Linked DNA regions of Lepisosteus oculatus. The protein of the gene in region 1 interacts with the protein of each later gene in a biochemical or structural test. Links are inferred from orthologs where the notes say so. Each region holds a gene or a part of one and is shown on either strand. Other genes may lie near its edges. The genes, in order: dcn and tgfb1b.

Region 1 (16,205 bases):
CTGAATACGGTGCAATGTAAATTATCATTTAAAAGGACATGTAAGTGCTATATCAGTAAATAATGTAAAGGAGAGCAATGGCTTTATAGAAAGTGATAAAGAAAGAATAGCAAATGTATTGAAAAATAAGTGTTGAGGTCCCTCCTAAGTTTCTCAAGAACCAGGATAATGAGAAAGTGCAGGGCTTGCAAAGCTAATATCAGAAGTGCACAGTACTGGGAAAGTGTCTGAAGAATAACACAAAGCCTTGACATAGCAATTCCTAAGATCAGTAAACCTGTGGGTGTCCCTGTTAACTATCGTCCCATTTCTTTACACAGTGTTTAAAGTCATAGAAATATGCACGTCTTTAGAAAGTGCAACATTATTGAGAGTCTCCTTCCTAAACAGCAAGATACATTTTGCCAAGACAGGAGCTGCAGTTACCAAGTAGAAGCCTTGTGTACCCAACCTGAAACAGGTTTCCAGACAGCGACTGTGTTCTGCCTATGATATGGTGGGAGGAAGGGCCTCCTTGAAACTTTGCAGTTTAATCCATTTATAATATTTATCCCATGACAATACTGGCTATAATAATTCCTTACACTTATATATGTCACGATCGTAAGTCCCTCCTCTTAAGGGCTCTCCGGCTCTTTATTGTTTCTGTTCATTCTTTGCACCTGCCTCCTGTTCCAGCCCCTTCCTATAAAAGCCAGATGCTCCTAACAATCTGGGCTTAGCTTTGGAAGATGGACGCCCGGAAGCTTCCCTACCAGCGAGTCCAGGAGTGGCTAATGGCATAGGCTTCAAAATGGCGTCCTGACCATCTTGGTCCGGGGTTTGGAGAGCCTGGCCCCGTTACCCTTTTATTTCCCCGACCCTTCACCAGATCCCGCTCTAACTTTTAACTTTTGTCTCGTCTGTTATGGAAGGATTACCTGGCTATGGACTTTTGCTCACCCTGGACTTCCCTACGGACTCCCTTTGGATTTGTTTGCCTTGGCTACCAGTGGGGAAGAGAAGTGATGAAGCCAATTCATAGATGGGGATTATTAGGAGCCCATTATTGGTATAGGCCAGGGGGAAATTTGGCCAGGACACCGTGGTTAACACTCCTGTTCTTTTTTGAGAAACGCCCTGGGATTTTTAATGACCATGGAGAGTCAGGACTTCAGTTTTACGTCTCATCTGGGAAGGATGGTGTTTTTCCAGTATTTCAGAAAAAATACCCTTTCAGTATTTTTACAGTACCCAAACTGACTGCAGAATGAGTGCTTCCTACTCCAACTAACACTTCTTCCAGCAGCAATCTTAGCTTTTCCATGAGGTCTCCCATCCAGTTACTAGCCAGGCTCACAGCTGCTTAGCTTCAGTGGGTTGCCAGTTGTGAGTTGCAGGGTGATATAGCAGCTGGCTATGATTCATAATCACTGTTTTTAAGTTCAAGTCACTATGCAAAGAACTTTCAGTTCTGGTTTTCCATAAGGCTCAATTTTGGCTCTGCATTATTTAACTTCTGAACAAGCCATGCCACACTCAATATCTAGAAAATGTATACTGTATATCTAAATATATACAGTATATATATATTCAATACAATACATAAACCACCACTGTATCAATCATATTCTAATCAAATACATCTCAATAATGGCTTAATAATGAGTGCTTTCAAAGGTGGAACCTCAGTTCAGATCCCATAAGAACAGTGGTTCTTCCATTTGGACAATAAGGTTGACAATTATAAGTTTAATGTGACATTCTGCACTGAGCATGTTGAGCACAAAGCTGCCACAGAATCTCTCGGCATGACATTGAACCACAGTTGAACCTTCCAACGAACCTTCAGCAACACTTTAGACAAGAGCAAGTTGTGTGTGAGCTTTATGAGATTGTTATTAGCTGGATCCTGGGACCATTTGGTAGGACATTGCACATATCTAGCCCATGTCTAAAATGCATTTTAATTCCCATGCCCTAGAATGGGGAGGTAACACCCACATTAAACTTTTAGATCCATAATTAATGGGGGCAATGCACATAATTCCAGGAACTGTAATGTTAGCTCTGGTATGGCTTCTAGGTTTGTCCTATTTTCATCAATGAAACACATATACAGGTAGGGACTCCCATTTGAATCAAAACACTGTAATTGTAATTAGCAATTGGAAAATTAATACAATAGATATTTAAGATTTAAAATATAGTGAAATAAATCTAACTGAAATGAGGTAATTAGTAGAGTAACATGGAGATCTATTTTTAAGCCACTGCATTTTCTGATTTACATACATTATGTAGATTCTAACAGGGTGGGATGATGGAACATTGGTTAGCATTGTTGTCTCACAACACTGGGGCCCTGGGCTCAATTAAGCACCTGAGGTGCTATCTATGTGATGTTTTTATGTTCTTGCTGTGTTTGCTTGGATTTCCTCTGGGTGCTCTGGCTTTCTCTCAAAGTCCACAGCCATACTGGTAGGTTAATTGGCCCTATTGTGAGTAGGAACAAGTGTGACACCTGAAGAAGGCTCCACAGACGAAACATTGTGTTTCTTTTCTTCACTTTTCAGCATAGAATAAACCTTAACTTGTTCCTTTGCAGCAGCCTACGAATACTGACACAGCTACCTACTCAAACTATGTGTTGTACTGTAAGTATATCCATTTCTGTGTGTGTCTTGTTCCAGACTGGTGTAACATCCAGGGTTTATCCAGCTGACAAATTTGCAAACAAAGTGGACAGAACAGCACATAAAAAAGTTGAAAAAAACTTTAGTAGCAGAATTTTTAAAATAGATTTCCATATAATCCATGACAGGACAGACATCTAGCAAGTAGTGTTTATTTTAGCAAGTGGAGATCATGACTTACAAGTTATAGAAATATGTATTACATAATATACAGTATATATGGGTTTTAGTCAGATTGAGTGAGCTGCTTTTAAAAAAGGATTAGGTGTTTTGTGCACCCATGCTGTCTTCATACAGACAATGTACTTTCTATAATTTAATATACAAGGCCACCAAAATGACAAAACACATGTAAAAAGTGCAGAATTCAACATAATATTAGTTATTTTAAAATTATACAGGAACTTTTTTTAGAACACTACGTCCAGTTTTGGTTGCCAAATTTGAAGAAGATCATAGTTGCCCCTGAATCTGTTCAAAGCAGTACATGCTTCTTTTCATTAGAAGATTGTGGGAATCTAGTTTTCTTACCCTATTTAATAGTGCTATCAGAACGTCTTGCAAGGAATAGCTGGGTGAGTTCCTTGGACCTCAACTAAACACATCAGGGCAGAATGTTTTGCTATGGAACTCTTCTTGTGTTATAATTCAGTCTGCAAGGGAGAGATGTCTGATTTCAAACCCTGCAAGAAGAAATAGGCACTTGTATCCAAAAGATGCCAGAGTCAATAACAACTATATTCTAGGATCTTACATCATGGGATGTTCAAAGTGCTGTGGCAATCCAAAAACTCCTTCTCTTTGATAACATACAAAGCCCACAAAAAGCTCAGTACTAACGAAAAAAGCAAGGTGGGGAGGAGACATTTACATTTTATTTCCCCTTCAGGCTGCTGGTGTAAATGTCTTGGTCTGAGGTATGTTGTGCTGTTTATGGAACTGCTCCTCTATTGATTTGTAAATGTTGTGGTGTACTTCAGCTGCATAAGAAACACCACATGGTGTGTGATGGCCTATTCTAGTTGTTCAACCTCAACATCAGAGTTGGGATTGCAAAGTGGTTCTTGGAACATGAGAAGGACCCTTCCAACTGTTTACCACCATGATCCCTGGATCTCAGCTCCATTTAGCATACATGTAAGCAGTTCATTGCTACTTGTAACTCTTTATCTGTATAGAGGTATACTGCTGCTGGATGTGTGATGCTATATCTCCACAGACATCCACATGGACATCTAGCAAAATCAATGGCATTATATATTTCTCCTGTATTTCTCACTGGAGAAACATCCAACCAGTATTGGAGATATGCTGTAATTTATGATATGGCAGTCTCCATATGGCAGTAATCCCTTGCTGAAAATGAAAAAAAAAAAGCAAAAGTGCAAGGCAGCTGAAAAAGGTGATATATACGCACAACATTTTGTTCCCACAGCCTGACAATAACCTCTACTTGTTCATTCACTACTTGTGCAGTGTAATTGAGCTCCACACTCTGTATCCATACTACACGTACGTCAGCTTGGGTGTATCCATATGTTGCGTACATTTTCTGCATTCTGCCAAGTAAAATCCCCATGGAAAAGAAATGGCAACAAGCCAAAGGTATGCTTAAGAGTTAAAATGAAAACAGATCACACAGCCACACTCTCAGCACTCAGGAAATGCAGTAAGCATAATTTAATGACAAATGTAAATGTATTGGAATGTTGGAGTGTTGCAACAGCACCCACTGGGAAAACATTCTGTAGAGAAAATAAACATCTGTTGGAATTAAAACTGCTGTGTTTGGTATGAACATATTTCTAACAATATCTGAAGTGTAATACAGAGTGAAATAAAACATTTAAACAAAAAAAGTAACTGTTTTCATGATATAGTATCTCTGTAATCTTTTTAACACATAGCCCTTGGCTTATAATTCATGGTGGAGCTATGGTTTCTATGAATGTGCAATGTGATATTCCCCCAGTCAGTCAGCGAGAAAGGCTGTTAAATGGACATTGGAAATAAGATTTCAGATGGGGTGGTCAGTTGTTGGAACAGGGGCATTGCCTCAGTACAACTGATCAGCATATCACAAAACATAAAATGTACTGTATATTACTATTAGTTTTAAAATAACCTTTTTGTGTTAAGAATGAGTGAAGACTGAACAGCAATGACTAACAGATGTTTGAATTTAAGCTTATTTAAGGTCTATTAAGAGTTCTACATTGATATTAAGGCTTTTCATTGCATTATGAAAAACAGTATGTAGTAGCCAACTCTGTATTAAATTGAACATTAAAAACTACAGGGCTATGATTTTACAAAGGTGAATTAAATAGACTTGTACTTGACTCTTAAGCTAAGGCTGTTGGAGTCAATAATACGTAGATGCAGACAAAACTCAAGTTATTTTGTTTTCTGTGCTCATTGACCTTATTATAAAATAAGCCCTTATGACAATGCACTCAGTTTGATCAATTGTTGTTATTTCAGCAAGACATCTTACATTTTTCTGCTGTTTTTTCTGGCTAAAGTACAGATTAATTAATGGTCAGAGCTATGCAGTTTGTTTCCACAAAACAGTCACCTTCCAGATGTAACTCATGTGCTGCCAGATCACATATGGAGGGAGCTTTGCTTAATTCCAATGTTGTGCTGCATGCATCTCTTATTGGAGAAAACTATTATTGTGTTCAAAAAGGAAATTATCTTCCTGGCACACTTTAATAAAAGGAAGCTGTCTTATTAAAGGATTAAATGTGGCACCAGTGCCAGGTATTTTTCATTTACTTCAAAGCAGCTGCTCCTTTTATTTTTGGTTGCTTGGGGGCATAACAATTTAGGGGAGTGAAGCTGTAAAAAAAGGGAAAGGAAACTATTCACATTGAGACAAGAAAAAGGATGCATAATTGGATGAATGAGACACACCTAATTCAGCATTTCTAACAATGACAAAAAAAGGATTATTTAAAAAAGCAAGTTTAAAGATCCCAAAAGCATACATGAAAAAAAACAACAATTAAAACTGTAAAAGGCTTTCCATCAATACAATACTAGTAGCCAATACTAAGAAAATAACTTTTATATAAAAAAATACAAACCATCCACTTATTCAAATATTGATTTATACAATATCTATATCTATTTGGCTTCCTTTTGTCTATTCACATAACTGTAAGCCAGAAATAAATAATAAAAACAGCATATTCAAGCCTCACATTTGTTAACACAAGTAAAGCACGTCTAGAAAAACATATTACAGATAACTCTGAAGTGAGATAATTCATTTTGCTGAACTTTTGACAACCTAAGCAGTTCCAGGGGAAACACCCCACCTCTTGGGTTCTACATACCAGGTGATCACTGGAATATGATACTAGCTCATGAGATTATGATTAGCATTTGTAACAAACTTCGGAACACGAAACAGCCAAGTATTCTCCTTTCTTTAACTACAACCTTTCACAAAAAAGCACAAAAAAATCTATAACACTCTTTTCAAAAACCTATAAACCATTTTCTTACTTTATAATTTACTTTTGTTGCAATGCTGTGGTTGTGCTTGAATAAAATGTTTTTAAAATCTGCACACAATTAACATTTCACAAATCTAACACAGAACATTAGAACAAAGCAGCAGCTCCATTATTTAAATCTCATCCTACCTCTTTTTTCCCTGTACAAGGAACAGAGCAAGCTCTCCTTCTCTTTCTGTGCAAGAAGTTACAGTTTTACCAGCATTCCAAAAACCCTATGCATGGTGAGTCCTGCTCCTTCCTAACATGTTTTTTGACTGCAAGAAACCATACCTGTATTCTTTTGTTTTTTGGGGGTGTTTTTTTCCCAAATCCAGTGGGGGTTTTTGAAGTGCAGCTCTCAAGGCCGAGGCGTAATTGCACTAAAAAAGTGTTCAGCCAAAGCAATGCAGGTGTGTGGAGCTGGAAGAGGAGGTGGGGGCAGAGAAAGGGAGGGTCCCGTTAGTCCTTTTTCAATGGATGACAATTGGTAGATAACTCCCTCTGTGCTTCTTTTCCAAAGCAATTGGAACCACAAGAAAAAAAGAGGCCAGTCTCAGTCAATGAACACAACACAGGCTGACACCCACACTACATCATATGGTAATGATACGTCTTCTACGTTAAAGCCAAGAACACTTTATCAACGTTTTCTTTCCCTCCTTGCTGGGGGAATTAATTCTTGTGCAGATCCCAGGCTGCTGTGCTTCAGAACAGACTCCATAAGCATTTTTTTTTCTCCCAGTGAGCATTTACAAAAGACTGCTCCCCCCTTAACTTTATTTTGTGTTTATTTTGGTTTAAACTATTGAATAAGAGCAGCTACATCTTTCTTCAGTAGAGAAGACAGGTTTTGGTATGGAAAGCTTTTCACAGATTGTAATTATATAACCTTAGATACTGATGCATTTCATTTGAATGTCTTCTCCTGGCTAACTTCCTACAATAATTGTTTTTTTTTTATTCTATAAAGTTTAGATTAAGAGGAGCAATTAACATTAATATAGTAAAAGGATCCAGATTTCATTTAAAAGTCTTACTATTTCAACAGGACTAAAACATTTTTACAAGTTCTACTTAATTTATAGATTCAATCTAGTTCTTATACTTCATATAAGAAGTTGATAATAAACTAATTCAGATAATGGAAAAGAAATTACTTTAATTATAATAATACAGTAATTCTATTATACCCATTTGTGATTTGCGTTACTTGCGACTGAAACATCACAGCACATTCCCAAATGTCACTTCATTATCTGAACTTAAAAATATATCAGCCTTTCAATTTTTTTTAATTTCTAGAAAACATAAAATATAATATAATATCAGGCACCAAAAACTATCAAAGGCAATCTATAATAAAATCCAGTAATGGTAATTGCATCTGTGGGACTTACAGAATGGAAAAATTGGAACAGGACTAACTAGAACTTTGCTTCTTAAATGCACTTAAAATAATCTTACAAAACAAGGAAAAGTAGGTTAACTGAGAATATAAGTGAGTACTCTAAAGTACTGTTGTTGTCTAATAGCCTTATTACATATCAGAAGCATGAAATAATTACATGTACTGTAGGTACTTCTAGCTTCAGGCTCTCAAATTGTTGGAATAAAAAAGTCTAGATTTTAGCAGCATATCCACATTCTGGACCTAAATCCTAAAACCTAATCTATATACAAAGGAAAGGTCTAAGTTTCAGTTGAACAATTTTGTTGTTTCAAATACATTTTTAATTTTTAATGTTTCAAATATTTTTTTAATACTGATCCACATAAAAAAAATATTAATGTTTATACCTCATCTTCCTGATTGTGAATGTGCCAATTACATGTAGAATGTTAAAAACCCTTGTTCAAAAATCTTCAGATATTTTGGATTTACTTTATTCAAAATCCACAGCAAGTGTATTTCTCATTATCAATGCTTTATTTTGGGTGGCTTGGTGGTGCAGTGACTCGTGTTGCTGCTTCACAGCACTGGGGCCCTGGGTTTAATTCCTGTGGTGCTATCTGTGCAGGATATGTATGTTCTCCCCATGTTCATGTGGGTTTCCGCCCACCATCCTAAGACATATGGGTAGGTTAAGAGGCTTCTGGGAAAATTGGTGTGAGTGTGCCCTCCAGTGAACTGGCCAGTCCAGGGTGTACCCTGCCTTGTGCCTGCTGCTTGCTGGGATAGGTTCCAGCTCCCCTGCAACACTGAATTGGAAGATTCAGTTAGGAAAGGAGTTATTTTGTATGGAGGAATGAATTGTACTTGTATATGCACTGTGGTTCGGTTAATGAGCATTGGCAGGTCTTCCATTTTCTTGTAGGGGGTGAGGGTTTCTTGTGCAGGATTTTTGTGCTTCCCCTGAGGAGGATACCTCTTAGGTTTATATTTCTAGAACAAGGGTTTCTCTCTTTATGTAACATCATGTACCAGTTTAAATTATTATTGTTGCCAGCATGTCTTTCTGTCTTCATATTGTTAAAAGATATGCATACAGGCACACACAGCTGTACTGAGTGAGGGTCCTAAGAGGACAGACAGGAGAGTGTTGTTAAAGTGGCCTCTGCTGGGATGAATTGGGTGTGCAACGGGTGAATGTAAGGAATTGAAAGCATAAATACTTAAGTTATTGAGTGTCCACCCTTGTCATTAAAGTGGTAATATGATTACCTGTGTTGTTGAATGCTGGAGCTTCTATAATCTTGTTGACTTCTGACACCAAGGACTTTATCTAGAACCTCACAGAGTGGAGGTGACTTTTCAAATCCTCTTCAGTACTACTATGCATAAGAACACATTTCAGTGCATGCCCACACACACAGTATATGGGTCTTACTAATTTCGTCAAGTCCCTGACAAAACAGAAGATCATTTTTAAAAGATATTTAATTGACATAGTATTACATAGTAAAAATTAACTTTGTTGATGATAATGCAATTTATGAAAAAAAGCCTCAAAGAACATAAATCGAACCTGATATACATTATGTATTATTATCAATTCTGTAGTTTGCTCACATCTGTTTTAAATGTGTACAGAGTGCTATGTTCTTCCAAAAGCAACTATAAACAAGTTTAACATGCATTGAGTCCTGTTTTCTTAAGGCCCACAAAAGCTGTGTCAACTTCTGTGTTTATGTCACTGTACATTGTAGAAGTTATGGACTTGATGACATTATACAGTGCATTATGTTTATTTTTCCATATTGTTACTCTGAAAGGAATCTGGATGGATTAAACTGCATTGATTTGAACAAGACATTTTACCTCTGAGGGTTACAATGCTGGTGGTCACCATAATAAAAAAGGCACGGGAAAGAAATTAAGAGGAAGTTTGGAAGAATATGAGTTTTTTCCATTGGTTAAATACAATTCTTGGTAGACCCCCCTAAAGGATAGCTAAATATATAAACAATGTTGTCTTTAATTAGGAAATTCATTACAAGAGCAGACTTGTTATAGCAGAGCACTTAGTATTTTCTCCCATTGAAAATAATTTGAAAATGAATCTTTTAAATAATACAATTTTGTCTGTTTGTGCTTTGCCCATTTTGCAAGAAAGACAATTCTTATTATCAATCTCATTTTTAATCTGCTTCATTTATTAGAAAAAAAATATTTTGACAGTTTATAAAACCATCCTAGAATGTTGTAAAAATAAATGCATCTTTTACCTCAGTCTGCTTTATTATTAAAATGATATGTCTCCTTCTATTATATAAAATTTAGTATTGTAAATCTGAGTTGCCTTGTAGGCAAAGAAAGAATAACTAAAATGAATTTTTTCGAGGCTAGTAGAGACATGTCTCTGTTAAGACATCTGACGTTACTGGATTTAAACAAAAAAATCTATAAAAAGCTTTCCAAAATACACAACTTCTGAAGAAAATTGGAAAAGAGCCATGAGCTACATTAGAGAAACCTATACTCATTCTTTCACTAAACACCATCCCAACACATCACAGTCAATGTTTAAGATGTTAAACAGCAGTCAATGTTGAAATCCATGCTCCCCAATACTTTTGTAAGTCTTTCCTACAAAAATTAAAAACCATTTCACAATAAATCTTTGAAGAAAATGAACACAGCAATAGAAGGCATTGGATAATCTTATTTGTGAGCTATGTCAACAAGAAGGACTAGCATTTAAAGTATTTGTATGAAGAATCTGTAAAGTGCTGATTAACAGCACATCCACATTCAACAGTGACCCATATTGTATCTTCACATGAAAGTCCAACATTCTTCAAAACCAAACAGTTGTAATGTTTAATAGTAAATTACTTAAAGTCATGAAATCTTTATAATGCTTATAGAACTCGTATTTTGTCTAAAGGAAGACCCACATTGTTGCTGATTTGGATTTGAGTTTTGAAACTACAGAATTTTAATTAGTGTAATAAAAGTAAAGTGTTTTGACATTGACAACCATGTGGTGCATTCTTGAACAATGAACCACCAGAGCAATAAGAGGACACAAGTGGAAGATATAAGTTAGAACATTTAGAATTGAGAACTGCGAGTGGCTTTTTTACTAAATGCTGTGAGAGTCCTGAAAGAGTAATAATGACTTAAATTTAGAGTTTAGACATGGGGATTTCAGTGGTATAGTATGTATGTTTCATTTGTGTACAAATATCTAGATTACAGTAAACCAACTTGGATTTCCTTTCAGTTCTGACTTATTCTTTTTCCAGTTAAAGTTGAATGTCACAGATTGTGAGTAACACCAGTTGGGTCTGAATTCACATTTACAATGTCACGTCAGCAACGATGGTAAATATCTTTGAGTCTAAGAACCAGACATCTCATAGACTACAGTCCATATTTTCCTTATATTACAGGTTATAGTCTTGCATAACTAATACTTATAATACTTGGAACATATTAGTACTGTAACTGGAGGTGGTAAACATTTTCCTGCAGATGATATGAGAGGGGTTTTAACACAATTGTCCTGGTTACATTTTACTCTGATCTTGTACAATCTAGCCTTCCTGAAGTTCTTAATTAATTCTTAGTTAATTTCTTATTTCTCTGCATGATGTGTTGTTTGACCCATAATAACTGTGGAGTGTCATCCAGATGGGTGCTGTGTTTCAGTGGTAGAAGCAGTTGCTCCTCTCCTATGTGTAAACCTGTGGTATCAAAGGTGCTACACAAATATGAAAAGAAACAAATTGGAAATAAAACAGAAAAATCAATTAACCATAACAAATACATGCTTCCTATTATTTTGTAGGCAAATGAAATATCCATATTACATATATATTGATTTTGTTTTACATTTTGTAGAAATTAAGTTCTTTACAGAAATTTGGGAAAAGGTCAGATACTTCTGTACTCATATACAGTACAGTATATACTTTCCTTTGTCTCTTCTGTACCCCTCATGGAAACCCATCTTCACAGTTGCTGCACCCTCCTAGCTCATTCCTCACGAAAATGAGGGCAGGGGGGTCTATTAGCGTTACTCTTACAGTTACACATTACACATTATACCAATCTATTCTTAGTATTATTAATAAAATAAATCCCAGTACAGTAAATGCTATGACGCTAATCCACAACAGGATTTTTTCTTATCCTATTGTTCATGTTATGCCACTACAAACACAACATTTACAGATGAAGATGATAAAACTTTAGAAGTCAATATCCATTTCATATCTTCAGTAGATATTGGTTTAGTAGTTCAGGTGGGTAGCTGCGTCAGCATGCGTAGGCTGCAAAGGAACAAGTAATAAATTTATTCCATGCTGAAAAAAAGAAGAGAGAAAACACAACGTTTCGGCCGTGGAGCCTTCTTCAGGTGTGAGAGAGACAAGGCAGTAGGCAAAGGTAATGTAGTGGGAGAACAAAGGCTAGGAGGGAGGAGGGGTTAGAGACGGGAGCAGGGGACAGAAAGAGAGGCCAATCAAGATGTGTGAAGTCAGAATAGGTGTCGAGAGGTGTGAAATGAAACTTCCAGTGAATGGAGAAAATTTAGTAGAATAGTAGTCTGTCGTTAAGAGAAGGGGGAAGGTGTGATCCTAGCTGCAGGATAAGTTTGGTTTCGGTAGTCTTTCTGATGTATGAGTTCGGAAAACCATCTTTGAGAAAACAGACGGAGAGATTAGAGTGGTCGTGGCCGTCAGAGGTAAAATGAGAAACAGTGGGCTTGGAGAGATCTTTAATCTTAACAGCCCTGACGTGTTCTCTGAAGCGGTCTCCAAGTCTCCTTCCTGTTTTTCCAATGTAGAGAGAAACTGGGCATTTACTGCAAGATATACAGTAAATAAGGTTGCTGGAGGTACAAGATGCCATCTGGGTGATCCGGAACTGTCCTGAGAGGCCTTGAATGAGTGTGATGCAAGGGAAAGTACCTGGTGTGGATGGTTGCTGAGGGCAGTCAAGGGAGCTGTGTTATTGTGTTATTGACAGGGCCCTGTCAATAACACAGATATTGGTTTAGTATTTCAGATATTTAAGGACTATTCAAAATGTCTTTTTTTCAGAAACATAGCTTAAGTATGTACCAGTTTAAGAGTTCTTTTATTTTGTTTTGCTAAGTGGTGATATTATTTTCAACTTTTGTTGTTCAAATAAATGTCCAGAGAAATGCAACAATAGCTTTTTAAAGCCATCCTTATGATTTTTAAGATTTTTAACTTATGTTATGGAAAATTTTATTTGTATACATTAAGTGTTGTATATTCAGGAAACAGATTTTTCAGAGCTTATTGGAAAAAAAGTTCCCTGAGCATTAAGTGAAGAGATTCCATGCTGAATTTAGATGAAAGACATCAATTTAGTAAAACCCAAATAACTGTGGAAATAGTATCAGTTTTACCAATTCTTACATTCTTTAGGGTATATTCACATGATAGTCAAAACTTTTATATGCTTTAAGCAATTCCTCTTTATTTGGTTTCATGGTTGGAAGTCTCACATACTCAGCTGTTATATGGAAAAAAATAAACATGCAGTGTCTAGATTGGCTGTATTGTGTCAAATTGCCATCCTTACTAAACACAAGCCACACAAATCACTGTGTGATACAGAGTACCATAATGACTACATTCAAAAGTACCAAATATGTAATTTGTGGTATTGTGAAAGAGGTGTATTGGAATGCTTAAAACCACTCTACATAGCCAGCTGTGTTCCCTAAAAATAAGGAAAATATTTACTTTTATATTCCATTCATCATTGCAAATACATTGATTTACTTCACATGTTAACAGGTCAGTGGGTGCTGCTCTTAACATGGGCCTTCACTATATTTCATAACTTCTAGAATCATCAGGTAGGTCACTCTGCAGAAAAAATCATTGGCTGTCATCTGACCTCCACTGTACACTTCCAGAGCAAAGAAGTGGGTAGGAAAGATTGCTGATGAAATCTCCCACCCAGGTTACCACCTATTTCCTTAACTTCCCTCAGGAAGATGCTACTGGTCTATTAAAATCAGAACTCCCCAGTATTTGAACTCCGTTTTTCCTAGGGATTTCTTTCTAGTTACAGTATACAGTATGTACACTGTCTCAATGATTTCTATTATCTTATGTGAGTATGGTACAGTATATGTAGAATGTTTTTGCAGCACCCAAGTACACCAGATTAAATTCCTTGTACATGAAATATATTTGGCAAATAAAGGTAATTCTGTTTCTGATTCATTGCATAAATGCAGTCTCAAGTGCATCAACCAATGAAAGATTTTATTTGAAACAAACTGAGTTGACCCCAGCTTTCCAGTTATCTACTGTATGAGTTGAGTCTGGGTTGATAGTGGGTTGATGATAGGATGCCATATCACCCTGCAACTCACAACTGGCAACCCAGTGAAGTTAAGCAGGTGTGAGCCTGGTCAGTACCTGGATGGGAGACCTCCTGGGAAAACTAAGGTTGCTGCTGGAAGAGTGTTAGTGGGGCCAGCAGGAGGTGCTCACCCTGTGGTCCATGTGGGTCCTAATACCCCAGTATAGTGATGTAGGATACTGTAAACAGGCGCTCTCTTTTGGATGAGATGTAAAACTGAAGTCCTGTCTCTCTGTGGTCATTAAAAATCCCAGGGCGTTTCTTGAAAAGAGTAGGGGTGTAATTTCCCCTTACCAATCATGGCCTCCTTATAATCCCCCTCTATGAATTGGCTATATTACTCGGCTGATGTGTGGTGAGCGTTCTGGCGCACTATGGCTGCTGTTGCATCATCCAGGTGGATGCTGCACATTGGTGGTGGAGGGGAGTTCCCATTACCTGTAAAGCGCTTTGAGTGGAGTGTCCAGAAAAGCGCTATATAAGTGTAAGCAATTATTATTATTATTACTTTTGCATCATTATGCAAAAGTCAGTTTAGGTCTCCAAGGGTGTGTGGCCAATAAGTTCAAGGTTGTTAATATTTTGGTGGGTTCAAGTTCATTAAGATATCAACTTGTTGCATAACAGTAACCCTTGGAACTGCCTGTGACTTTGCAGCATTGAGTATGAAACTAAAAAATGAAAGGTCAGTTTATCCAATCAAAGAACTCACTTGAAAGGATTTATTGGGTTTATTACACCATTTATTAATGGTATAAAATGGTTATTTGATTTTCCAAGTGTACATTTCAGGGGAAACCCCATTTCTGAGCAAACATCCCCCTTCTCTTTTCCCCTACTATATATTGTTTTGAGGGTTGTTGACATTAGTTGAGTTAATCAAATAATTGTTGAAGGTTCTAGAAAACAATACATTGAAGTACAAAACAGTCATATTTTTTTACATTTCTGCTTTTCAGCATTCAACAAACAAAGCATTCTGGAAGAAAAAGTAGAAAAAAGGTCAATTAAAAAGGTTTATTTGTACTTTTTTGTATGAAATTAAGTTGGTGTGACGACTTGAAATCTCACATCGCACAATGTGTGCAATAAATAGGAAGATTCTTGTGCAATGTGAGTGGGAGTACATGTTGTATTAACATTTGATACTAACTTCACTATTGCAAAATCCAAAACTATGAGGTCAGTGTAGAGTGGTGATTCCCATGGTAACAGAGTGCTGGAAGCCCTTTTATTTAAAGTATTCAGTGTACTGTACTTCAATTTCTTGTGTGTAAAGAAATACAATGAGGAAAAAAAACTCCTCTGTATTCCCTGTGGCTGTTCTCCTCTGTCACTAAAATGATTGTATCATTGAAAGCATTTACAGATGACATCTCTTGGATTCAAGATAAATGTGCCACTTTTTGTGTATCAACTATTATTTGATTCAGATATCATGTTTATACTTATATTCAAACTGAGTCTGATATTTATCTGTAGCCCTGTGAGAAACTTTTCTCATCAGTCCAACGTTTGAAATTAAAACTGCAAAAACAATTTCTCCTTGCATTGTAAAAGCTGTCTCAGTCTTGCATAATGTAAACATCTCTTTATTTTTTCATGTTAAGTAATTAGCTTCTCAAGGCTTTGCTTTATTACTTTCTAGCTCCAACTGTAGTTTTATGGCAGGTTAAGTATGAAGTGGGTCTCTCTGTTCTTTAAAGTGAGCTGGCAATTTCCACTTTTTTAAGTGGTGAGGAAGATTCAGCTCCTTAATTTAAAAATATAATACATTCCTTTATATACATAATTCATTAAAATGTATTGTTAAAGGTACATTTTCAATTATTTGTGTTACTGTACTTCAAAATGATGTCTTATATACTTTTCTGATCTGAGCAAAAAATAAGGGTTTTACAAAAAATGCAATGGCATTTAGTCTGAAAGCCTGGAGTTCTTTCATGACTGAGACTTTAAAGTTTGGTTTCTGGTGTTATTTTACTGTACAGCAATTATTTCACAGACCGGTTTACTGGAAACGTTTTTTTTAGGTGTTTCTGAAGCAAGTTTTTTTTTCAAAGACATTACTCAATCGGCAACTATTTAACTGAGTTTTCTTTTTTTAAATTAATTTTTAGAACACCCATATTTAGCCTGGATTTATAAGCATACAAATCACAGTAAATTATTCAGTTTGTAAGTTATGTACAATTTATAATGACAGCACAGATGACTTATTAATTT
Region 2 (16,442 bases), on another chromosome or scaffold:
CTGTTACTCTAGCCTTCTCTGCTTCTCTGCAAGGTGTCTGATCTGCCGTGGACTGTGGTTAACTCCAACTTCAGTGTGTTTGACTGGTGCTGTCCTGCAGGTGCTCAGTTTTAGTGTGCAGTGAGCTTCAAGGCCAGGTGGCCAAGGGAACCTTTGGACTGCAAAAGTCTGGGGGAGTTTTTTTCAAATATACATCCAGACCTTTGAGACTCTTTTTCAATGAAGGTGATGAGCAGCCAAGAAGGGAATACAGGTCTAATTCAGTCTTGCATGTGGGGATTAGTGTTTTCCGTACCTGGGCGTTTATCCCACTGTGTACAGTTTTGCTGACTGAGAGAAACTGCACCTCACTTCCATATAACTCAAGGTGCTGGATAAGACAATCCACAATCTACAGGCCCTACAGGTTGTAACTCATGTGCTAAGACAGTGTTGCCAAGAGTGAAACAGACCCCACTTTCCTGAGTTCTGGGAAGTCGACCTGATTTTTGTTTTAAATTAACTGGCTGGGGTGACAGTTCTGCTCCAGCCTCTGCTCTGTCGGATGACACAGGTCATCTGTGCAGGATTTTAACTTAAAATGTTGTACAGACTGAGCCCTGGGGCAGTTGTCACTGCAATGACATACAGTACAGTAGACATTAGACAGCCATGGACTCTGACTACAGCCCAGACTCATGCCCCACCCACTTTTAAAGAACTTGCTCTTTCAACAGATCAACAACGCCATGTACGTTACTCCCTAAAACAGCTCTGGAGAATTTTGTAATATAAACATTTGTACATAACAGAATCAAATGCTTTATTTGAATTCAGCAAAGTACCTTGCCCTTATTTTTTTTAAAGATGTATTTATTAATTAGGGTGTGTAAGGGCTAAATGTGGCCAGTAATGTAGTGTTTTTGAAGGAAGTCAATCTGACTCCCAGTGTCTCAGGATCCTGTGCTCAGTACTGAAGGCCAGTCTTTTCGGTATTGATAATACTCGAAAACACCTTCACCACATTCCTCCGTTTCCACATGCCTTAGAAGTGAATGGGGATGGTTTTATCTCCTCTTTGTAAATTTGATAAAGAGATAAAAGGTCCCAGACGTCAGGGGCATAGCTGTGCACAGTGCCAAGCTCAACAGATGGGATTTTGGGGTTCGTAGGCCCTTGGCACTTTCACTCCGAAACGTGCAAAAAGAGGGGTGAACGTCCCCTCTGAATGACGTCGATTGACATGATGCACTTTCAACTATTCTCATGCTAAACTGTGTGATTGAGTCGAGCGACCATCCCTTCGATACTTCTAGTATCTAGAACAGCCGCTAGATACCGTAGGGTTATTGATTTGGAGCACCTAGAGTCGATCGCAAGCATGTAGTTTCAACCCGTTTTTCGTTAGTCACTAGTGTTTCTCTCCTTCGTAGGCCCTAGACATTTCGTAGGCCTAATAGGAAATTCGGCACTGAGGTTCAGTATCTTAAGCAGGGCCTCTTGCAGCTCAACCCTGCTGTGTTTGAGCTTCTCGGTTCTGATGCTATTGAGAGTGAAGGGTTTCTGGGTGTTTGGAGCTCTGTGAGCGCTTGCAAGGTGACTGCTCTGCAAAGTTTGGTTGTTTTTCATTCACGGCTGAAGCATTTTTAGTTTTTCCTGAATGACAATATGTCAAGATTGGAAACCTCTGTGTGGATTTTTTTTCATAAAGGTTTCCAAAGCAGTTTTTCCCAAATATTTCCATTCTGTATTTTGCCATGTTTCCTGAGGCTCTGTTGTGCTTAAACTATTCCACATTTCCCAGACCTGATTTTGATTTACTGAATCTCCAGAGTGAGGGTTATGTAGATGTGTTTTCATTTTGTGACTTTCAGAGTTTGTTTGTAATATTTAAAAACAGTACCAGAGGCATAAATCGGAGCTGTGTGAATGATGAGGTTTCTGATTTGATATTTTCCTTTTTATCATTGTCAAACAGGTTTTCTTTTAACTTTGGACTGAATTCTTAATGAGTGCCTTAATTGATGCTCTTTGGAATATTTCATTAATGTTAAACATTAATTCACCTATCATGTCGTGCAGGTGTTGTCTGTGGTAAATAGGATTTGCCATTCCTGTAGAACTGGTTGCTGTTTGCTGGTCTTCTGTGCCATCCAAAAAGTATGGTTTACAAGGTGTGTTTGTGTACTCCTAGGTTGTCTGGAGCTCTGTACCTGTGTTCCAGCCTGTAGTGTGTGATTGTATGTTCCTTGGTTCTGCTCAGGAAAACAGAGTTTCGACTGTAGCCCAAAAGGGATATTTTGGTCTGGCAGTGAATGCACTGATAAAAGAGGAGTCCATGTCGGTGATGGCACAAACAACTACACTTGGCCCAACAACTGAACAATAGGTGAACCAACCTGAAGAGACCCTTCTGATCTATGAATATTGTACAGATCCAAGACAGTTCTCATGCCCATTCAACACACAGTCATAGTTACTACTCTGCATTGTGGTGGATATGTGGTACCATCCACATACATGGCTGTTTCCCTATGTACTTACTCACACTCAGTACTTGTCCTACCATTTAGATCCCCAAAGAGAAGCACATGTCCCTGGGTTATAGGGTATGAAAGGGATATGCGCTACACACAGATATATATCATTATCACACAGGGTTGAGTCTTTTTCAGTTTTGAGCCATGAGTGCATTTGTCTTTGACTTTGACAATGTTGAATTGTAAAACCTGAAGACACAAACCCTGGACCATAGATCCCCTCATCTCTCTTTCCCCTGTAGGAAGCCTGGGAGGTTTGCACACAGAGATGTGTGAAGCTGTGATAGTGGACCTGACTTCCTCCAGAGCGCTATATATAACTATCTGGAGTCACTGAGCCCAGCTCCGCTCCAGAAATAGAAGTGCCTGCCTCACTGCCTTCTTCCTTCCCGATACACTGACTGATTGACACACTGGCTGACTGAGATACTGACCTCCACGCTGTCTGTCTGACACACTGGCTGACTGAGATACTGACCTCCACACTGTGTGACTGACACACTGGCTGACTGAGACACTGACCTCCACGATGTCTGACTGACACACTGGCTGACTGAGATACTGACCTCCACACTGTCTGTCTGACACACTGGCTGACTGAGATACTGACCTCCACACTGTCTGTCTGACACACTGGCTGACTGAGATACTGACCTCCACACTGTCTGTCTGACACACTGGCTGACTGAGATACTGACCTCCACGCTGTGTGACTGACACACTGGCTGACTGAGACACTGACCTCCACGCTGTCTATCTGACACACTGGCTGACTGACATCCTGCCTGTCTGACACACTGGCTGACTGACATGCTGCCTGTCTGACACACTGGCTGACTGAGATACTGACCTCCACGCTGTCTGTCTGACACACTGGCTTACTGACATGCTGCCTGTCTGACTGACACACTGACATGCAGGTAGAGGCGAGAGGGAGTGAGAGGGGCTGTGGCTGTTGCTCTGTGGTGAGTACAGAGATCCAGTTACAGGAAAACCCCCCGGCACTCTGGCCCTGAGAATGAGGGAAAGTGGGAGGAAGAGAGGGGGGCATCTCTCCCTCACACACACACATCTCTTTACATCTGACCCTCTTTTACTCCACTTTCAGTGTTTCTTTTTTCTTTTTTTGCTATTAAGTTTCAGTCCAGAGAGTTCCTCTCCTCTCTCTCCACAGTCTCTGAATACAGAAGGCTGTCTGAATGACACAAAGAACAGGATTCTGTTAGTGAAACGGGGGAAGGGAGAGAAGGACAGACAGACAGAGAGGTGGGGATGGGGGAGGGGAGGTGTAAGAGTGGGTGTGTGGAACAAGTCTACTGTTAATTTCCTCCCTGCTTTACAGCTGCTGTGTGTCAGTAAACCTAAATCACATGGGCCTAACGATGTACAAAACAGACACACACACTGATATCAATGGATGCCCACACACTGTCACATGCACAGATATACGCTGTGTTCCTGTCTTCGTGGGGACTTCCACTTGACTCTCCTTCTAGTCCTACTAAGAAATCGACACTCTATTCAAACGAAACTCCACACAGGGTGAAAGCAGACCTGAAACGAACATGTTTTGGTGCTTGTAGGTTTAGAAGAAGAAGCCACTTGGTTCGTAAAACGTAACCACTGACATTGGGGGGACATCGTCCCACCATGCTTGTCAGGAGGCTCTTGTGCGGACAAGTGTCACACACACACAGGAAGACACTCAAACAGGTAGACAGCCACAGAGAGACAGACGCTCACCTCACACCTGGAGACTCAACACTATAATGAGCCAACTCAAACATCCCAGCCATAAAAACGCCATGGATACTAGCGGAACAGTGCGGTACTGCTTGCCAACAAAGACCGTTGACATATTAGTGTCTGTTGCTGCCCAACAATTGTGTACAACAGCCTGGAGGCATGACTAGAGAAACGAGAGGGCCTTTCCCTTCACAAACCAGGACTGAGACAGCATGAGGTCTGTGCCCTACATCAGCACACACTAGCATGAACACCGCAGAAAAAGCTCAAGGAGGAACTCATCCAAATCGCAAAAAACGAAATAAACCACAAAACTAAAAATGATCCCTGCTCAGCGTTCCAGATATGGGCCGGGGCAAAAGTGTATGACAAATGGTGTCTTACAGACGGGGAGGAGAGAAGGTGGCACATGTCCTGCATCCCAGATACAGGCCAGGGAGAGGACGCAAGGTGCCCAGGGCCACAGTTACAGGCCAGAGTTAAGGCATGCATCTCCAATGACCTGAGGTTATGACTTCGAAACTCTGCTGTCTCACCTGAAACCAGCACTATTCCTCCTTCTAACAGACTCTCACCAGAGTACGGCTGCGCCTCAGAACCCAAAGACTTTATTCCAGTCAGCTGTTGTACCCAAAGAGAAGAATGGTTATCGATACTGGTGCCAGTTGACCAAGCTTTCATTCTCATTCCTGGAGGACTCGAGGTTAGGGACTGTCTGCCCGAGATACTCTTATAGTAAAGAGCCAATTTACAATTACCACTGGGATGTCATCTAAGCACAAGAGCACAGTGTCATGGTAGGGAGAAACCTGTCAGCTAATTAGTAGGTACCGATTTGAAAAGCAACACGACCACAAACCAAGACACCAAGAACAAGTGAGATATAAAGATTTAAAAGAGAAGGGAGTAAAGATGCGAGTGTCCCGGCGTCAGTGCGTGTGTGTGTCCCGAGGTGCTCGCTCGTGTGGTACTCACTGTTCTTCATGATGAACTTGTGCACCTCCTTGCCGAAATACTCCTCCTGCTCCCCGTGCTGGGCCGCCGGGCTGGTCTCAGCCTGGCGGGCCTGCTCCTCACTCAGCTCCTTGGTGCTGTTGTACACCGACAGCACCTCCGGCTCGGGCTCCAGGGGGGGCTCCTCCTCCTTGGGCTCGCGAGACATGCGCAGCTTGCTCAGGATCTGCCCCCGGATCGCCTCGATGCGCTTGCGCTTCGCCAGCTCTAGGTCCAGCGGCTTGCAGGTCGACAGGGCGAAGACCTGGCTCAGGCTGCCTAGCAACCACAGGCCCAGGAACAACAAGCGGTCCGATCTCATGGTGACCAGAACAAGCGCCCCAACGTACCGACAGTGTCCTCGCTGTCTTTTACTCAAGCACAACGCAGGTTTATGGAAATCCTGCTCTGGTATATGTAACCTGTGTATTAATTAAATGTTTGAGTGTCAGTCTAGCCGGCTACAAACTGCTTGATTGATGTCCTGTTGTGCTCTGGCGGTCCTGTTACACAGCCCTCGGTTGTCCAGCACGTTGAGATGGGGGAGGAATTAAACAGATGAAGTCTTGTTGAGTTATCTTCAGGCTCTGTGTAGTGGTTGGACTTCCCTCTAAAAGCGTCCAGTGCTACTGCCTCACATAAGAGAACTCCCGTGTCTCAAGGCAAGGGAGGAGACTACCCCTCTTTGACAAGCCTGACAGCACGTTGCCACAAGTCTCCCTGTCTCAGCACAGGTGACAATGCAGGATTTTAGGGCTACAGGTGTCCTCAGCATCAGCCTCTCTGCCTGTGACAACTGGAGACGGTCGTCTTACCTCTGTGGCCTCCTTTATGAAAAGCCGTCTCTCTCCACAGCTGGGCTGCAATGGAGAGGGGGCTCAGCTCTGGTCTCCCCGCCTGGAAACTAGGGGTCTCCCTTCTCTGCTTTCGTCTCTTCGTCCCCAATCTTTACTCTCTGTATTCTTGGCTTCAAGCTCTCTGTCCCTCACGCTTGTTGACTCTCTGTCCCTTCATCTTTTTCGTTTTTTACCCCGACCACTGCTAATTCTTTCTTCGTTCGTTTTAGAGTCTCTCTTTATCTACTTCCTTCCTTCTCGCTGTGACTCCCCTCCTCCTCTCCACGATCAAGTTGAAGCGGTAAAGAAGAAAACAGAAGTACTCTCAGATGACCCGGACTTCCTGAGACAGATCTGTTAGCTTGCCTTGCCGGTGACACTCCGGATCAGACCGCTTCAGACAGCAGTAGCAGATATTAAAGCTGACCAGCCTTCTCACCAAAAGGTACAAGGACAGAGCAAGAGAGCCAACACACGCAGCACACTATCACAGAAGAGCTGTTCTCTTCAAATAAACAAATAAATACAGAACACGTTCTGAGACAATAAATAATCCGCTACCAGCAACTGAATTAAAACAGTGGGGGGGGAATTGGGATTAATAAATTAAAAAAGACTATAAATACATTTATATATATATATAAAAGCTCAATAAGCTAAAAATTTGTAATGTATCTAAAGGAAACTGGTACTCCTCATTTCACCATCAGCAGTTTCAATTCTGCTTCAAAACAAAACACAGAGGCTTAAAAATAAAGTCTGTTTTTTTTTCCAAAATAACAGTTCTTCCCTGTAGTATGCGCAGAGAGAGTGTGAGAGGAGCCCAGAGGGGATGAGGTGTTACAGAGCGTAGGAGAAGGCAGCCCAGAGGAAGCCGAATAATGTGCCTGGAAAAAAGCAGCAGTAACAGCAAGGCACCCCTCTGACACAGCAGCCAGAGCCCAGAGCACCTCTCAATTACAACCCAACGTACCACCTCCCCCACCTTTCCTTGTCTGGACCCTATTAGAAATATTAAAGCAACTGGAAGAAGGCAAAAGAAACTACTCCCTTCCTTCCAACCAAGCCGAAGAGCCGTGCTCTTTCCAAAAATAAAACTCAACAAACAAACAGAGGAGCCGTTTCAAGGCAAAAAAGGTGAAACAAATATTTAAAGGGAATTTCTTGAAAATAAACCTTAAGACGCTAAAGCACAAACATTTGAAAAGAACAGAGTATGAAAATCAAGCAGCTCAAACCAGTCTGTGTGTCTCAGCAGGAGTTGTAGTGCTAGCTGTAGTAAGTGTTCATTCGGAGCTCCTCTATTAAAAGTTTTGATCCGAACGTAGTCTTTCTTTCTCACTCTGTGTCCCGATTTGTCTGTTTTTCGTCTCTTTAACTGATTTTCCCCCCCGTTTATCAGCTCTCTGGCTCTCTGTTAAGAGCTCGGAACCTTTCTCTTTCAGCCACTTTTCTTTTTCTGTTCACGCTCTCTCTCTCTCCTCAACTACTTCTGCTTGTCAGAGCTTGCTAGTGACAAAATGATTAGTGAGGGCTGTTCCATACCCTCCCTCCCTCTATTTAATTTTTTTCGTTCCTGTTGCAGCTCTAAAAGAGCCAGAAACTCTCCGCCCAGGAAATGAGGGTAAACGGATGCAACGCTAGAACATCTGTTTCTTCTCCGACTGTGAGAGTGTTGCTCTCTCTTCATACAGAAAGACTTGGAAGTCTGAGTAGCTACCAAGACAGCTGAATAACCCACTGACTCACTAACTGAGTGACACACTGACCGGCTGACTGACACACTGACAGACGGACAGGCAAAGTGAACTAACTAAAACAAAGTGATCAGATAACACATTTCTGCGCAGTAGCGATTGACCGTGACTTGAATAAGTCCAACAGCCAGGAAATACTATGGGGAAGTTTATTAGTGTGGTTCTTAGTCTACTGCACATAGATAATTCCTATTGCACTATCTTCCCCTGCACATGTCCTCTCAAAGACCTCAAACACATCTTTCCTTCCTTTTTCCACAGGGCTACCCCACACGGCACAGAACAACAGGAGACAAGATACACTGAAACAGGGGGATACAAGAACACAATGAGTTACAAACTCACACTGTGAAACACAAATCCACTCAGTCGCACATTATAGTACACACTCTCGCACTCAAACAAAAACACTGTCACTTGTGCACAAACAAGCCTCCCACACCGAGATACTGAAAGAGAACACATCTCTCTTGCCCTACGCAGAAGAACCATGCAGAAAGATTAAGACAATTATGAGGAATACAATCATTCAAAACAATAAAAACAGGTTAGTAAAGAGAAAAGATGACAATCATGATATATAGTAAGTGGAAAAAGATGAAAGGAAAGATGGCAAAGAAGAAGATAAAGGTAAGAAGCAGCAGCACAAGAGCCCTCAAACAAGAGGCACAAGACCTCATAGTTTCATTTACTGACCCACAATTAAACATCGGAGAAACTATGGAAAACCAAACTTTTAATATATGCGTTTTAAAAAAGTAAAATGGTTTCCAACTCTAAAACACAATACATATATAAAAATATACAAAAGTCACGCTGGGTTCAAATACAAAAATTCATTTTAACAAAGAATGGGATTAGTTTCATTGCGTGTGACTGTCAACGTGTTAATGGGAACTTGTATGAGAGATGCCATTCCAAGACTCAGCCTGCCCCCTTGTGGCAGAGCAGGGGTAGAGCCATACTTACAAAGAGCATGATACCTGTCCACACACAGCAACTGTTTCCCCTCTTTCCCTGCTGAGGTCCAGAACTGGACAGACCTGAGAGCCGTCCTGAGTTTTCCACTGCAGACAGCTCGCAGCCTGCTGGCCTCCTCAAGTCCTCACATCCCCTCCCATTCTCTCTCTCGTTCTCCCTCTCGCCCCACACACCAAACCCTCTCTCAAACCTTCCCCTGCGCTTCCCTTCTGCCTCTCCTCCTCTCTCAGCTCTCTACTCCGTAGCGGTCGAAGTGTCTCAAGACGATGCTCAGCTCCAGGTCCACGGTGCCCGAAGCCACCGTGTGCAGTCTGTAGCGGTCTGCCCCAGTGTAGATGAGGTCAGGGGAGCGCAGCTGTGGCCCCCCTCCCACGAAGGTCTGCACCAGCCTGTCCTGCCAGGGCCCCAGGGGCCGCCAGGTGCCGCAACGCAGTCGGTGGTGCCCAGGGCTGGAGGGCACGTGGCAGAACCCATAGCCAGCCATCTGGCAGCGGCCAAACGAGTCCTGGTCCCACACCTGCAGGTGCAGCTTGGGCCACCCTGGAGAGACAAAGCTCAAGTCAAACTGTTCTTTCCAGATGGAGTAAAAAAAAATAATCAAAAAGCAAACCCCAAAAAATCCAGGTCAGTGCAAGTCTTCCATTCACCCAGATGGATATTTCTTCCCCATAACTGAATTCTGCAAACCCCTCGTTTTTCATAGGAACTACAGTATAACCCTTGACAGTGGGAGTCAACGTTAGCTTGTCTTCATCCATCCAAGAAACAAAGAGCAAGGGTTAACTCTGCTGAAACTGCAGTTCAGAATGCTTGACGTCACTGCACAGCACATGTGAAAAGATGCGGTCCTCTTGCAGTAAAAGGGAGGCCCACAGCAAAGTGTGTGGACACACTGAAAACATCAGTACAGAAACATCAGCTCTGAGCTGGAGACAACATACTGTAAGGTGAAATTGATCTTAAAAAAAAGTGTGCTCAATACAAATGGCAATTTTATGCATTCATAAATCAAACTCTGGGCCATTTCAGTTCACTGTTAAATACAGCGCAGAAACCATTAACCAAAGGAAGAAGGTTTACATAGATGTGCATTAAAATGAGTTAACTCGACAGATGAACAGACAATGTGCTGTAAGGTATGATTACAGTTGTGGGGCAACATTTATGTTGTTTTTTTCCAAATCACAGAGACTGAGAGGACAGGAAGAAAGGGGAAACAGAGAGAGAAAGGAGAGGAACAGAATGAGAAACAGGAAGAAAAGGGGAAAGACAGGAGAGAGGACAGAAAGAGAAGAGAGGTAAGCAACTGAGACAGGGAAAAGGGAAAGAGAAGGAGGAGGAAGTACCTTGCAGTCCCTTGGTGGCAAAGTGTAGGTCTATGGGATGGCTCCAATAGGCCACTTCACCAATCTGGGGAGAGTCCACCTGTGTCTGCCCTTCCCTCAGCCCTGACAGCAGGCGCCATGCCCCTCCTGCAACACACACAACACTGTAACGCACGTGCACTGTGTCCTCACTGAGATAAGGGAGGACATCAAATCATTGAAGGTTTAGAACTGAGTGAAGGTAGGCCTGATCATGGCTGGTGAATACCTGTGTGGACACCCCACTTGCAGAAGAGGCTGTTCTGAGGGAAGCCACTGGCCCCCACAATCTGGCCTATAATGTGCAGCTCCGCCATCCTGCTGAGAGAGAAACACCCTTACACACTGGCAGACACAAGACACAACAGAACACCGTTACACACTGGCAGACAGAAGATACAACAGAACACCGTTACACACTGGCAGACACAAGACACAACAGGACACTATTTCACACTGACACTGGAAAGATAAATGAAATACAGGTACTGTCAAAACTTTAAGCCTGTATACAAGTAAAGCAAAAAAAGTGAATGATACTGTATACGAAATACACTTCACAGGTAAGGTAGATTGTTCTCATTATCAGCATCATCCTGTAGCAATAGCCATCTATTCTGCCATCTCGTCACAGGTTTACGGACACCCTCATCTTACAACAATGCTGGCTGGTCCCTGAACTGTTCCGGCACCGAGACCAGCTGTCAGTGCTAACGATCTGACCTGGGAAATCATACCTCACCTAAAGGCTGCTGCGCTGAGGAAGAAATCAGATCACAGAGGCAAAGAGCACCATACTGCAATGTGAGAGAGGACTACACTGCAGTGGGCACTGGCCAGGGTTATTTTAGAACAGGAGCACCCATAACCTTGTGAAACATTCCAATGGATTTCTATTACATGCATAGGGAACAATGGTGATAAATAAAGGTCATATAATTGTTAGGTGACAAACAAGATGAATGTGCTTCCCCTTCGTTTCCACTTGTTCGCTTGTTTTGCTCTGTTGATTCTGAAGACATCCAATGGGCTGATGTTCTCAATGGCCCGGAGGATTTTAAACACCCGAGTCAGTTCCTTCACCTTTGAAGAACGTTCATTGGATGATCAATTCACAGACTCACTTAATTAACTTGCTCTCATATTGAGCCCACTGAAGTGCTGGTCTGTATGTCTGGAAAAACATTACCATCACGCAGGGGGACCAGTGGATACCAGCAGATTAAACCATGGAACATGACCAAGGGGACACACACTGTACTGTATGTAAACTATGCTGAAACGCTTTAAGAGCATAGAACAAACGCTTCTTTAGCCAAAGAGTAGGGAACAAAACAAGCTACCCAGCCTTGTTGTTGAAACCATTTCACAGACGTCTTTACTAAAACGATTGGATAAGCTCCTTGGATCAATTAATAACCATCAAATGGGCTAGATGGCCTCCTCTTTTGTAATGTAATCTTTATAATATTATTGCTGATCTTCTTATGTCTAATCTGTCTTATGTTCTTATCACACTGCTCAGATTCAGTGCAGATGCATCCTCAAAGCTGCATTCTTCAATCTATTAATGATACAATTGCTTCTTTCAGGCTACTCTGTTGTTACAAACTGGAAAATAATGATTCAATTTAATTTTAATCACTCTGAAATTAAGTTGGGAGTGAAAAGGGGAAGGCACTTGTGGTAGGATGCTCTTAACTCACGTTTTAACGCATTTTATAGCATGCTGTTACGAACCCATTGTTAATAAATCACACACTATGCACTGTGATAGAAATACGAGCTGTTTCCTACTGGCAGGCGCGTCAAGTTACTTGCAGAAAAAAATCAGGTGTTTGATCCTTGTAAAATAATAACTCCAGAAACCTGGAAAAGGGTGTGAAATAACATTTTATTCTACTGTAACATCACACCGTTCCGTTATCTGGCACAACCTAGACCAGTCTGTCCAGTTACCAGATAGTAAACAATGCAGGTGCTGTTCCAAGCGGTAAAGACGCTCTCGAGATTGTATTTCATGTAATATAAAAAAACAGCTTTATAGAGTGGTGAGACACCTCACGACTTAATCCCGAAGACACCGAAATTTTACCTTCAATCCTCCCGGTGCTTTCCAGGTTTGTTTTACTTCATTAATCAAATTAACTTTCCTTGTTTACATTCAAGCGGCGGTCTCCAGGGCTAGAGAGGCGAGTCCCCGCCACTTCCTTAGCAACCCGACACCGGGCTCTGCCATTGGTCCTTGATGTCACGTGGTCCCGGGCTCGGGTTTTTTTTTAAGGTAGTCGGGACGCTGTCGAACCGCCGTCCGGGAAGTACTGTAATTACAGGTAAAATAAAGTGAGCTGATCTGACCAAACAATCGATCAATGAGAGCTGGCCCAAAACCAAATGGTACCACGAGGATCAAGTTCCCATCGATGAGTTACTGCAGGTAACACCCGTGGGCTCTTTATCGATTAATGACCCACCCCAGTGCGTGTTCTCCACGCAGGCGTGCGTGGAGACTGACGGACCTGCTCGAAATATCGCCCTGGACCTATGCCTTGGTTTCCCCTGAGTGTGTACGAAGTGTCATTGCTCCATTCATCTTATAACTAGCACACATAAAGAGTATTGCAGTGGAACAGTACAGTTCTGACACACTGCGCGGAACGGTACTGATGTGTACTACATTACAAGGATAAGGAAAACGAACAGTTGGTGCAGAACTGTGCAGTAACAAGTCGAAAGCCGTTAACTACAATCGGTACAATCAATCGTCTAACACTGCCGGCAGGCGGAGCCTTGGTGCCACTTTCCGAGCCCTGCGACGACTCCTTTCGCCGTATCCGAGTCGGTGATACAGGTTTATGATAATGTGGACTTGTAAAGGTTATGCAGAAGTAATATGAAAACTAAAAATACATGTGTAAAACCTGAAAATCTTAAGTTATTTCGGACAGAAGGCGCTTAATAAAGGTAGTGTACGTGTACACTCTTGCCAATTTGTTACTACAGCGACTATTGCTACAACCGCTCCTGCTGCGGCTACCGTGAGTACCACCGCTACAGGTGTTAAAACTATCGCTGCAGTTACTACGGTCACTAGTACTAACACTGTTGTGTATACTACTAATACTGCTGCTGGTCCTGGTGCTGTCGCTACAGCAACTAGTTGGCCTATCGGTACTGCTTACAACAACCCAAATTGCAGCTACATCTGTTGCTGACTTATTTTCCCGTAAGCTGCCCCTGAATTGACGGGGAGGGAGAGAGACGAGCAGACTGTTTTCACACGCTTCGCCGAGGGCCTGGGGTTTAAGAGTTAGGACAGAGAGAGAGGGGGGGTTGTGAAAAAACTTCGCGTGGAAATGCAGGGGTAGGCAGCCGCGGTTGAGAGCGCCCAGCCGAGAAATGAGCTCGGGCCGCCGCTGTCTTCAACAGGTGACGGCCGGCGGAGTGTGCGGACCAGGCGCCGCGATAAATAAATAAGCACTCGGGCGGAATGAGAGCGGCCCGTAACCAAGGCGCTGCGTGGTTCACAGGACAACCGCACACATACACACACACACAGCCGACACGAGAACACAAACACGGAACTCGCACTCGCGGAAGGGAAAATACATTCACGCACAAAACAAAAAAACAACCCCACGCAGGATCGGCGGCACGACCGCAAGACGACGCGGGCGCGCCACGGCCTCCCACGCCAAAGCTGAAGGACGGGCGTTCATAGAGCAGCCAGAGGGCTGAGGAGGTTCTTTCCTTTGAAAGCCGATATATGAGCATACTGCGACTGGCGAGATCACGGGTACACTCCCTGTACATTAAGGGGAAGATGGATACGCAGACAGACGAACAGAAACACACGGACGCGGAGCCGGCACACACCGTAAGAGGCGCGCACTGATCTGCACTGGGGAGCGAGGAGGACGAATGAAGAGTCGCCCAGACGCTTTCTAATCTCAAGACAACGTAGACGCAGAAAAAAATATATATAATCACCTTACAAGGTAAGGATATGTCCAGTGGCCACTGCAGTGTAGGTAAGGATATGTCATTTTAACCTTTTACAATGGGGGACTAAAGTAATATACAGTGGAACAGTCCTGTTACAGTAGGAGCTACAGTCCCAGTACAGTAGAACAGTCCTGTTACAGTAGGAGCTACAGTCCCAGTACAGTAGAACAATCCTGTTACAGTAGGGGCTACAGTCCCAGTACAGTAGAACAGTCCTGTTACAATAGGGGCTACAGTCCCAGTACAGTGGAACAGTCCTGTTACAATAGGAGCTACAGTCCCAGTACAGTGGAACAGTCCTGTTACAATAGGAGCTACAGTCCCAGTACAGTAGAACAGTCCTGTTACAATAGGGGCTACAGTCCCAGTACAGTGGAACAGTCCTGTTACAGTAGGGGCTACAGTCCCAGTACAGTGGAACAGTCCTGTTACAATAGGAGCTACAGCCCCAGCACAGTAGAACAGTCCTGTTACAATAGGAGTTACAGTCCCAGTACAGTAGAACAGTCCTGTTACAATAGGAGCTACAGTCCCAGTACAGTAGAACAGTCCTGTTACAGTAGGGGCTACAGTCCCAGTACAGTGGAACAGTCCTGTTACAATAGGAGCTACAGTCCCAGTACAGTGGAACAGTCCTGTTACAATAGGGGCTACAGTCCCAGTACAGTGGAACAGTCCTGTTACAGTAGGGGCTACAGTCCCAGTACAGTGGAACAGTCCTGTTACAATAGGAGCTACAGCCCCAGCACAGTAGAACAGTCCTGTTACAATAGGAGTTACAGTCCCAGTACAGTAGAACAGTCCTGTTACAGTAGGAGCTACAGTCCCAGTAGAGTAGAACAGTCCTGTTACAGTAGGAGCTACAGTCCCAGTACAGTAGAACAGTCCTGTTACAGTAGGGGCTACAGTCCCAGTACAGTGGAACAGTCCTGTTACAATAGGAGCTACAGTCCCAGTACAGTGGAACAGTCCTGTTACAGTAGGGGCTACAGTCCCAGTACAGTGGAACAGTCCTGTTACAATAGGGGCTACAGTCCCAGTACAGTGGAACAGTCCTGTTACAGTAGGGGCTACAGTCCCAGTACAGTGGAACAGTCCTGTTACAATAGGAGTTACAGTCCCAGTGCAGTCGAGCAGTCTGATGCAACTTGAAAGATTAGCAATATTTCAGGGTTCCAGTTCAGAAGCAGATGAGTGCAGATTAGAAACATGGTGGTCTTTTCATTCTGTGTTTGGCAGCTGCCTCCTTACCCACACCTGTCTCATACCTCCGTGCAGTTGCCATGGAGAAGTTTGAAAAGCTGGCGAAGATCGGCGAGGGCTCGTACGGCGTGGTGTTCAAGTGCCGGAACCGGGACACGGGCCAGATTGTGGCCGTGAAGCGGTTTGTGGAATCCGAGGATGACCCTGTTATCAGGAAAATTGCCCTGAGAGAAATCCGCATGTTAAAGGTACAGGGAGGGGGCGAGAAGGATGAGCCAGGCAGGGCAGAGTGACGGGAGAGGTGGAGAGGGGAGAGAGCCCTGCTGAGCTGGGTCCAGGCAAGAGCTCACTGTCCTGGGCCACACCGACAGCAGCCTGCCTAAGGTCCACACTGCTCAGGCCAGACACGCGCACACAGCTTCACCCACCAAATCAACACAATCACACACACAGCTTCACCCACCCAATCAACACAATCACACACAGCTTCACCCACCAAATCAACACAGTCACACACACAGCTTCACCCACCAAATCAACACAATCACACACACAGTTTCACACACCAAATCAACACAATCACACACAGCTTCACCCACCCAGTCAACACAATCACACACAGCTTCACCCACCCAGTCAACACAATCACACACAGCTTCACCCACCCAGTCAACACAATCACACACAGCTTCACCCACCCAGTCAACACAATCACACACAGCTTCACCCACCCAGTCAACACAATCACACACACAGCTTCACCCACCCAGTCAACACAATCACACACAGCAGCCGAGTATCTGACCAGGGTGAGAGACAGCAAGGTGAAACAGACCCTGATTAAACACAGGCCCAGTGACCGCTGCCTGGCCTTAGAAACTGGACACAGACAGACCTGACTGTCCAGAGAGGACAGCCTCAGTGACCACAGTCTGGCCATAGACACTGGACACAGACTGACCTGACTGTCCAGAGAGGACAGCCTCAGTGACCACAGTCTGGCCATAGACACTGGACACAGACTGACCTGACTGTCCA

The links.
Region 2: the proteins of dcn (region 1) and tgfb1b form a complex in vitro, tested with the Homo sapiens proteins (3 studies listed by BioGRID). The link is inferred for Lepisosteus oculatus from reciprocal best matches to the Homo sapiens genes DCN and TGFB1.

The regions. Positions count from the first base shown.
Region 1 is NC_090702.1:16,387,413-16,403,617, reverse strand, and holds the start of dcn (decorin), read right to left. Parts: upstream 6,729-16,205; 5' UTR 6,476-6,728; intron 6,437-6,475; exon of another isoform or gene 6,332-6,436; intron 1-6,331. UniProt on the Homo sapiens protein: May affect the rate of fibrils formation.
Region 2 is NC_090698.1:6,672,032-6,688,473, reverse strand, and holds the start of tgfb1b (transforming growth factor beta-1 proprotein), read right to left. Parts: upstream 8,477-16,442; 5' UTR 5,581-8,476; coding exon 5,241-5,580; intron 1-5,240. Other genes in the region: b9d2 (B9 domain-containing protein 2), read right to left, coding at 9,059-9,372, 10,179-10,304, 10,426-10,513; cyclin-dependent kinase-like 1, read left to right, coding at 15,485-15,652. UniProt on the Homo sapiens protein: Transforming growth factor beta-1 proprotein: Precursor of the Latency-associated peptide (LAP) and Transforming growth factor beta-1 (TGF-beta-1) chains, which constitute the regulatory and active subunit of TGF-beta-1, respectively.